Linked DNA regions of Drosophila melanogaster. The protein of the gene in region 1 interacts with the protein of each later gene in a pairwise test. Each region holds a gene or a part of one and is shown in the gene's direction. Other genes may lie near its edges.

Region 1 (5,275 bases):
TGAGGAGATTCGCAAAGCGAGCTGAGCTGCAATTGCGTGCTATGAACGAAAGGCTATATATCGAAACCAAAAAGCAGCCAGTAGCTAGTTGCGAATGGAAAACGCTTGCTTAAAGCTCACCCACCAACACCACCACCACCACCATCACCACCAAAATACAAAATCTAGGTATAAATATGGGCCAGCAGCGGCAGAGATGAAGCAGAGCTGGGAAAGAATGGAAAAAAGACATGGGTTTAAGGAGAAGTTTAATTTAGTTCAACTAGTGATATAACATTGACAACAATATCAAAAGTGTAAAGACGTCCGTATTGATTATTTTGATGACAACGTTAACATTCGTGTACTCAAGGTCTATGTAGTAATAATTAGGAAGAACCAAATGCATTTCGCCAAAGGAATTCACTAAACGGAAATTGTAAACTCGAGCAAAATGCTTTTATCGGTGTGTAAGTTGATCGTTGATCGTACGTGTGAAAGTAACTATATGTACAATAGTTTTAAGTGTTAGATGGAAAATACTTCGGCACATAAGCAATTACTTATTCGTGGTCTACTTTTTGATACTCCCAAACTCGCTGTGTGCACCCGCAAGTAACTATATCAACGTCTTAGTCAGACCTTTGCGTACTTAACCGATCGCCGCCGATCGGAGCCACCCATCTCACCTGCAGTCGTTAGTCGATGCTAAGTTGGTTATGCTAAGTCGTCACCAGAACCTGTTTCTATTTCTATTCGTATTTGTATTCGTATTCGTATTCGTATTCCAAGCCTCCAAGGGGTCGGTAACCTTAAGCATTATTTATGATACTCCCACAATGATATTCCAACTACCCGAAACATATCGAAACTATCTGAAAGGCAACATAGCTAAGGGGACAATAAGTTGTTTGCATTTTTCTATGACTTTTGGTTCGATATTCCAGCGATGGAGGCACAAGTTTAGTGGTTTAGATTTTAAATATTTATTTGTTTACCAACAAAACTATGTTGACTATAAAAATAAAAGCAACAATTACCAAAAAGTCCTAATCCCTATCACTCGGCCCGCTTTTTGTTCAGCACGTCGTGTGCTTCCTCGCCAGCTTCCAGTTGCTGTTGCCGGAACAACTCGATGAGCTTCTCGGTGGCAGTTTGCGGCGTATCCAGCGGCTTTGACGCCTCGGCACTGGGGTAAGCCTGGCCTTGGGCATCCGGCGAACGCAGCAGGAATGGCGTCCACGGGCCTTGGATGGAGGGCACTTCGGTATGCCACATTTTCCGGAGTCGCAGGGAGCTGGAGCTGCCGTTTTGAGTCTTTAGCAGGTCAATCCACTTGGAGATCTCCTCTTGGGTGCTGTTCCTGCAGCTCATCCATTCGCGCTCGCCGTTCACTGGAACAGGATGACATATTTAAAGTGTATTCTAGGGAGCATCCTTATACATTATGTATACGTACAGTACTCTCCCACCAAAACTGGCGTGCGGTGGCGCCTGGGCTTCACATAGACCACAATCCCGGGATTCTCTTTGGCAAAGTCCAGCAAGTGATTCTCAATGAAGTCGCTATTGAACGTTTCGTATGATTAATTTTACTTTATATGTAAACATTTAAGGATTTTGCTTACCGCATGCCTCTGCTGGATCCATTATTCTTGCAGAACTTCAGGGTGATCCGCTGGAGCTGACAAACATAGCGTCCCAATCCATTTTGCAGGGGTGCACGGGGGAAGCCGGACTTCAAGAACAAGTGGCTGTTTGACATTCTGTATTTGTTTTTAATTCAAAACAATTTTTAACTATTTTTTACAATTCCAAATAAGAGACGACGTAATAGCATGCCGCAAACAGCTGATTCTCTCTGACCAGAGATGACGAGTTAGCTAGAAACATTATGTTTTATAGCTATAACCCCTATAACCCCAGCTTACATTGGAACATAATTAATCTCTAGCACATCCTCTTTTAAATATGAACCTATTCCGCGCTGAATTAAATAATAAATAGTAAAGCCCATTTGAACAATTGTATAAATAATAACAATTTCAAGCATATGAATATAGTGCTGCCTGAGTTATACCAGCCAATTGCCCAATCTCTGACGCAAGACAGGGCTGTTATGCACTCTCTCCTCTCTCTCTTTCGCTGATAAAGAAGAAGCGGCACAAAGCGGAAAACAAAAATGCAGGCGAGGCGTCGCTTTTCATTTGATTGGAAAAACACGAAGTAGAAGCGGAGTAGAAAGCGTGCAACGTGTAAAAGTGGAGCACATGCAGCTGGTCTAATCAGCTCCATAAATACATAGACTGCAAAATGGCCACCGTAAGCATTAAATCGCTATTTAATCACAAGTGCAAATGAACAGCATATTGGCCTCCAGACTTTTGTAGGCTCAAAGTTCTCCAAACATGTTCTAGTTGATGAAGAAGAGGGGGAGGAGGAGGAGGAGGATTCCGCCGAGTCTGGTTCCACATCGTCGTTCAGTTTGCAGGAGTGCATCGACGAGTTTAGGGCACGCCGCATTCGCCGTGTGTCCACTCAAAGTCGCGACTGCGAGACCAACAATAACCACATCAACATGTCCCGACAACTTCCCCGAGTCCGCAGAACCACGGATGCGGACCTAATCAACCAGAATCGCTGCAACAAGGAGCAGGAGCGCAAGGGGAAGCCGTGCCAGAACGGCTTCTGCTACTGCTTCACCAGCGACAGCGGAGACTGCGGCTCCACGGCACCGCCACGTGACCAGCACGTGCGACTACCAAGGCGCAGCAGGCGATCTGAGAGCGCCAAGGTAAGCCACTAACCAGCCCGCTACAGTTCCCTCATTAAACTCACATTTTACAGCCCGCCAAGCAGAACAATCTCGGTAGCCAGCGGCAGCAGGCGGAGAAACTTCGTCGAAGCGAGCCGGCCAGCATAAATTCTGGCTTGAAAACTCCCTTAACTGCTGTCAGTCGCTTGAGAGCCGTGGCCGGCGAGGATGAACCGCTTATACACATCATCCAGGAGCTGCACGACAACTGTGTGGTGTCCGAAGTGCGCGTGAACCGCCACAAACTGTCAGATTCTAGCTCCAGGTGCCGGCACAGGAGCACACAGAGAGAGCCTACTAAAATGCTTTCCTATGAGCCCATAGCCTATAAGCCCTCAGCTCCTGTTTTGTCTAACATCAGCGAACAGGAATCCGCTGTGGAGGAAGATCAGGAGAAAGAAGAGCTGGCCACCGAGCCGCCAAGTCGCAGGAGTTCCCGCTCTCGACGCAGTTCCGGAGCAGGTGGACGCCTGCTGCAGAAGCGCCTCTCGCAGGGTCAAGTCAGCTTCAAGGCACGGAACTCGCAGCTGCCGCCTCCGAAGCCGCCGCGTCGCAGCTCCCAAAGTCTGGACGGGAAGCTATCGCAATCCTCGCTCACCTCCACGAATCCTTCGGTGCGGGAGGCCGAGCGAGTGCTGGACGAGTTTCTGCGCAAACGTGGCGTTCAGGTGCCTACGAGCAAGCTGGAACCATCGCTCAAAAAAGACAGCAAGCGCAGATCGTTCCCCATGGGTAAGTTATACCCGTAAGCCCTAGAAAATGAAACCGTAACCAAATAGAAACTATTTTTACCAAAAATCAAATGTATTTACCAAATAAAGTGTTTTGTATCCAAACATTTGGCTTACGGTTTCATTAATTGGTTCCTTGGTTTTCGATGTTTTTACGAGCTTTGCGTCTTTCTTTAGCTGAGGTAGAGAAGCCCAGGCATCCCAGGAGCAACAAGCAACTGCCCACCTGCCCCTCGCTCAGTGACATTGAGCGCGTAGTGGAATCCAAGCGGGGCTCAAATTACGACCGGAATATTCGGCAGGAGAGTAGGCGGAAAGGAGCGCCCACCAAGGAGGTTATTCTTGGCTGGACAGAGCCCAAGATCACCGATATGCTCAACTACGAGGGCAAGACAGCCAGCGAGTTTAGGACACCGGCGGAACCGCAAGTAGCCATTGGATGGCAAATGCCTAAAGCACAGCCACAGCCCGTAGTGCCAAAGGTTTCCTTGGACACTGTTGACGGAAGTGTTTCCGAGAACCTGGCATCAAATATGGTGCACAAGGAGACGCCCATCAAGTATCCCAGTCGAGTTAACACGGCAGGAGGTCAGGCTAGCCAGAAGTTCATCTGGAGCGAGCAGTGGCGCAATCTATCTCCTTGGAAGGGTAACAAACCGAAGAACCTTGGAAAGAAGTCCAAGAACTTTCTGAACAACTCCAAAAAGAAGATCCTGCGCTTCGTCTCGCCGAAGAAGTCTAATCAGGAGGTGCACACGCAGCTGGATCAGCACAGATTCACTCCCCAGCAGTGCACCATTGGCGTACAGACATCTACCTCGCAGCTGGACCTGCAGTCACAGTCTCCGCCGGGAAGCTACCACTCCCCCATGCAGACCACGCCCTCGGGTACGACCACATCCACCCGCCAACAGCTGGACACAGAGCAGCCGTACTTCGATTTCGAACGCAAGGTGAAGGCACCGACGCCTCCGAAGAAGCTGCCCCGTGCAAACAGAGCCCGCAAGCTGGACTTTCAAGCAGCAGCAACATCACCCACCACCTATCGCTCGTATCACAAGGATCTCGACCAGGACGTCACCATCACTAAAATGGGCTATCTGCTCAGCAGCATCAGGGCCAAGCTGGAGGCTAGCGATGAGCACGCAGTTAGAACCTTTCAGGTGAGTCCCTTCCCTTAATCTTTTACTTTATAATAAGTGGGCATGTTCATTTCGTACCTTTATTGATGAGTCCAAGAAAGCATGAAGAGATTAAATACTAGACAACGGTGAATACTGCACCCAAGGCGTAGTGATCCGACCCCAGACGGTAATTGGGGATCTGTCCCGCCCCGATGCACCGGTTGATTGAGGGCAGTGAGTAGACGCTGAGAGGCAAGAGCTTGTGCCTGCTCCGCGATCCTAGCGAGCGCAGGATGTAGTCCACGATAACCCATTCGTTCTGGTATGTGGAGGCAGTACCTTCGCCCGAATCGATGATCTCGAAATGCAGGGGTTCTGGGCAAGCTGTGGAATCCACATCCCCATTCTTGCCAACGAGGAATTCAATAGGCGAGGAGTCGGGCAGACTGTTAAAGTCACCAGTCAGGACGATAGGTGTGTCGGTGGAGAACGACTGCAGCTCCTCCAAAATTCTTTCCACCTGGGCGCAACGGACATCGCTCCGTTTCGTGTTGAACAGCAAGTGCGTGGTGGCGACCACGAATTCCTTCTGCTGCTCCTGCTGCTTTTTGAATCGGAACCTGGCA
Region 2 (3,937 bases), on another chromosome or scaffold:
TTCATAGATGTTTTATGTACATATATATTATTATATAACTTCATATAACTTTCTTAAGAAAGTGAATTTCTTTGGCTTGCTTTCATTAAATATATCAAATTATCGAAGTAATATTACAAAATTAATTCAAAGAATCTTTCATCTTCCCTTAATATCCTTTTATCGTATTTTTTATCCAAGTGTTTTTGGCCGTCTGTTTAGCCTGTTGTTGCCGGAAAAAGGGCAGTGGGTGGTGTTGGGTGGTGGGTGGTGCTGTCACTTTCTGGATGTCGGAGGATGTTCTATGTTGGGTGGGTGGTTGATTGCAGTTCAGCTCGGCAGCTTGGCAGCCTCGGCAAGTGCAAAGGCCTTTTGCGTGGCAAGGAAATTAGAAATGGAAATTATTATCGTAATTCGTAATGTTGCTGCAATTGCAGTTGTTGTTGTTTTGTTGTTGTTGTTGTTGCTGTTGTTGTTGCTGTCCGTTGTTGTTGCTGTTGTTGTTGTCTGTTGCTGTTGCTGTCATGTAATTACACAGCACCCAAACAACCCGAAGAGCGTTGATTGTCGTTATTAGAAGTAGTTTGCTGCTGCTCTTCTGCTTGGCTCCACTCTTGTTTTTGTTGCCCCAGCGAATCGTGCTTCGTCGTTCTGCCGCCGGATACCAGCCAGCCCCGCATCCCCTCTTCACCCCTTCGACATCCTTTCGACCCCCAATTCGATGGAAATTTATGTGGCGGAAGCACCCCAACCCTCACGCCTGAAAATACTGAATGTGGTGCAAAATTCGACTACCAAGGAGACTAACTTGTCGTTAGAAGTCGGCAAATAGTTGTTCTAAAGGGAAAGTTCTCAAGGGTGAACTGAAGTCGCAAACACTACTTTTTATTTGCAATTCAATTTAAAGACATTGCGAAAATGTAAAGCAAGTTGTATCAATATTAAGAATATTATAATAAATATCTAATAAACAGAAATAACATTGTTTCTTTAAAACTATAACACTAGAAGAAATACAATCATTCAATGAAGAAATGTTCTTTTATTGAATATTTCTAAAATATATTCCTAAATATTTTATAATAATTAAATAAAAGTATATATTAGAATGGCCAATTAAACGAGCCAATATACATTATCAAACTAATAATCGAAGAATTAGTATTATTGGAAGGTAAGAAGGTAAAAATAAAACTAAGTCCTGTTTTGGTTCTAGATAGTTCAATACTTTTGAATGATAACTTCAAGGGCCTAATCACTTCACTGCGGTTCATTGGCCCCGGATATGGACTATTTAATATTACCAAGGGTACTTGCCCCATAGTCATTGCTGCAGAAGGGGTTAATAGTCGACCAGGGACAATGACATTGCGTTGGAGGTGGAACCAAAAGCTGGCAGGACGAGGCCTAAATATATGTATATAGGCAAGGAGTGCAAACTTCAGCCAATCGATAAAAGTAGCTGCATATGCAATCGAGAGGGCCCGAAAACAGGGCCAAGCATTTCCGCTATCTATGTAAAGCAACGGATTCGAAGAGTGAGTGGAAGAGGAAGTGGGCGGGGCCATTGAGGGGCTGCGTATCCTGGTGCAGCAAAGTTTGCCTATCGTTTCCGCTTCGTCCTGAAACGAAAGTGTTGTCTACGATTTCCAGCACTTGCTTAAGAAACTTAAAAACGAAACGGGAAGGAGAAATAAAATAAATTTAATTGCCTACCTTGTTGATGTTGTTGTTGTTGTTGTTGAACCTGCTTGTCCTCTCGACTTAACCTGTTTTCCTGCCATTTTCTGACGCCAGCGAAATGGAAAATGATTTTACAACGGCCAACTGCCGAAAAGAACATGGAAAAGAATAAATTAATTCGTATTTGGCCGAAGCAATCGCCCCCGTTTTCCCAGACTTTATCTTTTGGTTTTCATTTCCAAGCGGATGCCGTCTAATTGATTCAATTTGTATTCATTTTACATGTTACCCACGATCTGGATTCGTAATTAATGAAAATCCAAAATTCTTATAAAAAATCATTTACATTTATATGATAAAATTGGGAAAGTGGAAAAGCTGTGAGATTGCAGGGCAAAAAAAATAATACTCAATCAATTCCGAGGTTTTGAGGCTATACCTTATCAAGTGTGCAATATTTAATCAAACTCCTGATTAGATTATTGTAAAGCAATGAGTAACACCAGGAGATATTCGATTATTATAGAAAAAAAACCTAAATGAACCTTTCAGTTCGCTTTTTCCTACCAACCAATGCGGTCTACATATTTTCTATCGCTATGAATTCAAGAAGTAAAAGCGCTATATTGCATTTAAGTTCAGATGACACAGAATCATTTTCGAAGGTATAAATAGTATTTCTTTTTGAAGAACATTAATTTTAGCATTTATCTTTTTAGGCGAATTATTGTGACTGCAACGATTTCGATGAACCGAAAATGAACTTAAAAATGGTACTTGAAAATAAGCTAAGAGACATGGAATTTAAATTGGCAATTGCCAACGAAAAGTTGGCCATATTTGACGATAAAATTAAGGACAAAAACGAGATAATTGAGGCCTTAAAAATGTCTAACAACCTTTATAAATCAGATTATAAGGATAGATTTGATGCTCAGGCAAGCATAATTGAAAAACTAGAGGAGGAATTGTCAACCTTAAGAAAAGCGAAGTTAAACTCTAGCCAAGATCTTGAGACAACCAAAAATAAATCAAAGTTAAGATCAACAATTTTTTTTTTTAAAGAAAGCGAAAAGGAAAAAAAGTTACTTATTTCTTCCCTCGAAGCGCAGATTAAAGAGAAGGCTAAAACGGAAATAGAAAACTCACAACTTATTAAGTCCTTAAAGTCTCAGATAGGCGACAATGATGTAAAGCTAAAGGACAAACAAGATCTTATAGCAACACTCGAAGCTCGTTTGAAAGAAAGCGATAGTAAAAATATTGAAAACGAACATATGATCCAATCTCTAAGCGTTAAAATGTGTAGGATAATTTCTGAAGAGAAAGAATATAAATCTCTTATAGCAACCCTCAAAAATCAGATAGGCCAAAAAAGCGAAACACTGGAAAAAAATAAAGGGATAATAACTTCACTCAAGGCTCAAATAAAGGAGAAAGATAAAATAAATGGTGAAAACTCAAAAGTTATAGCAAATCATAAGGCACAGATTAAAGAAAAAGATGACCAAATCACATATTTGGAATTGGGTCTAAATTTGGAAACTTGTAAAACGCGGGAAAAGGATGAGCTATTAAACGATCAAGCTGCTACCATAATGAAACTGCAATCTAATCAGGAGAGAGTGAAAGAAACCCATAAACTTATACCATCAGAGGGTCAACAAATTTCCAACGCTTTGTAAACAAATTTATTTAATAAAACATATATACTTTTATATCGCAAAGAAGAATGTTGTACATTTCAGCTTTATGTCAGCAAGGGGACGCCATCATGCGGGAATTTCAATGACGACGGTGCTGCCACCCTCGTGAAAAAAGGTCCTTTAAACCGCTATTCCCAAATACGTTTAAATATTTCCCCATTATTCAATTTACTATAAAAAATTCAACGGTCGTTGATTTTTTCGGGAAGTCCCCTATTTTTATATTGCTAATCTGTAGTGCAAATACTTCATCAATAAATGGTTATCTTACAATTAGATAATGGTAATAGTAACAATAAAAAAATGTGAGCTGTATTATCTAGCCTTTGATACAAAAGACAAGGTGTTCCAGAGAATTTGCTTTTTATTACATTTGACAGCTTATCATTCAAGATAACCGAATAACCAAAATAAACCTTTTTTCGTTTGCGGTTAGTCAGTGAGAATTAGCTGTTCGAGGGAATGGCTAGCGCCAAATTTGAAACGATGATGGAATATTTTGGTTTAGAAGAAAAAACAACGATTTTTAACTTAAATCCTTACTGTTTATATGAAATATTTCGTCAAAT

Evidence for each region.
Region 2: the proteins of CG30183 (region 1) and CG10943 interact in a two-hybrid assay, tested with the Drosophila melanogaster proteins (one large-scale study listed by BioGRID).

The regions. Positions count from the first base shown.
Region 1 is NT_033778.4:23,694,693-23,699,967, reverse strand, and holds the start of CG30183 (uncharacterized protein), read left to right. Parts: upstream 1-2,143; 5' UTR 2,144-2,292; coding exon 2,293-2,301; intron 2,302-2,359; coding exon 2,360-2,773; intron 2,774-2,826; coding exon 2,827-3,526; intron 3,527-3,702; coding exon 3,703-4,688; intron 4,689-4,735; exon of another isoform or gene 4,736-4,785; coding exon of another isoform or gene 4,786-5,275. Other genes in the region: sigmar (salivary glands marred), read left to right, coding at 1-3; mRpL43 (mitochondrial ribosomal protein L43), read right to left, coding at 1,039-1,373, 1,439-1,545, 1,608-1,744; angel, read right to left, coding at 4,786-5,275.
Region 2 is NT_037436.4:12,861,202-12,865,138, reverse strand, and holds CG10943 (uncharacterized protein), read left to right. Parts: upstream 1-2,218; 5' UTR 2,219-2,327; intron 2,328-2,381; 5' UTR 2,382-2,420; coding exon 2,421-3,347; 3' UTR 3,348-3,422; downstream 3,423-3,937. Other genes in the region: CG32107 (uncharacterized protein), read left to right, coding at 3,855-3,937.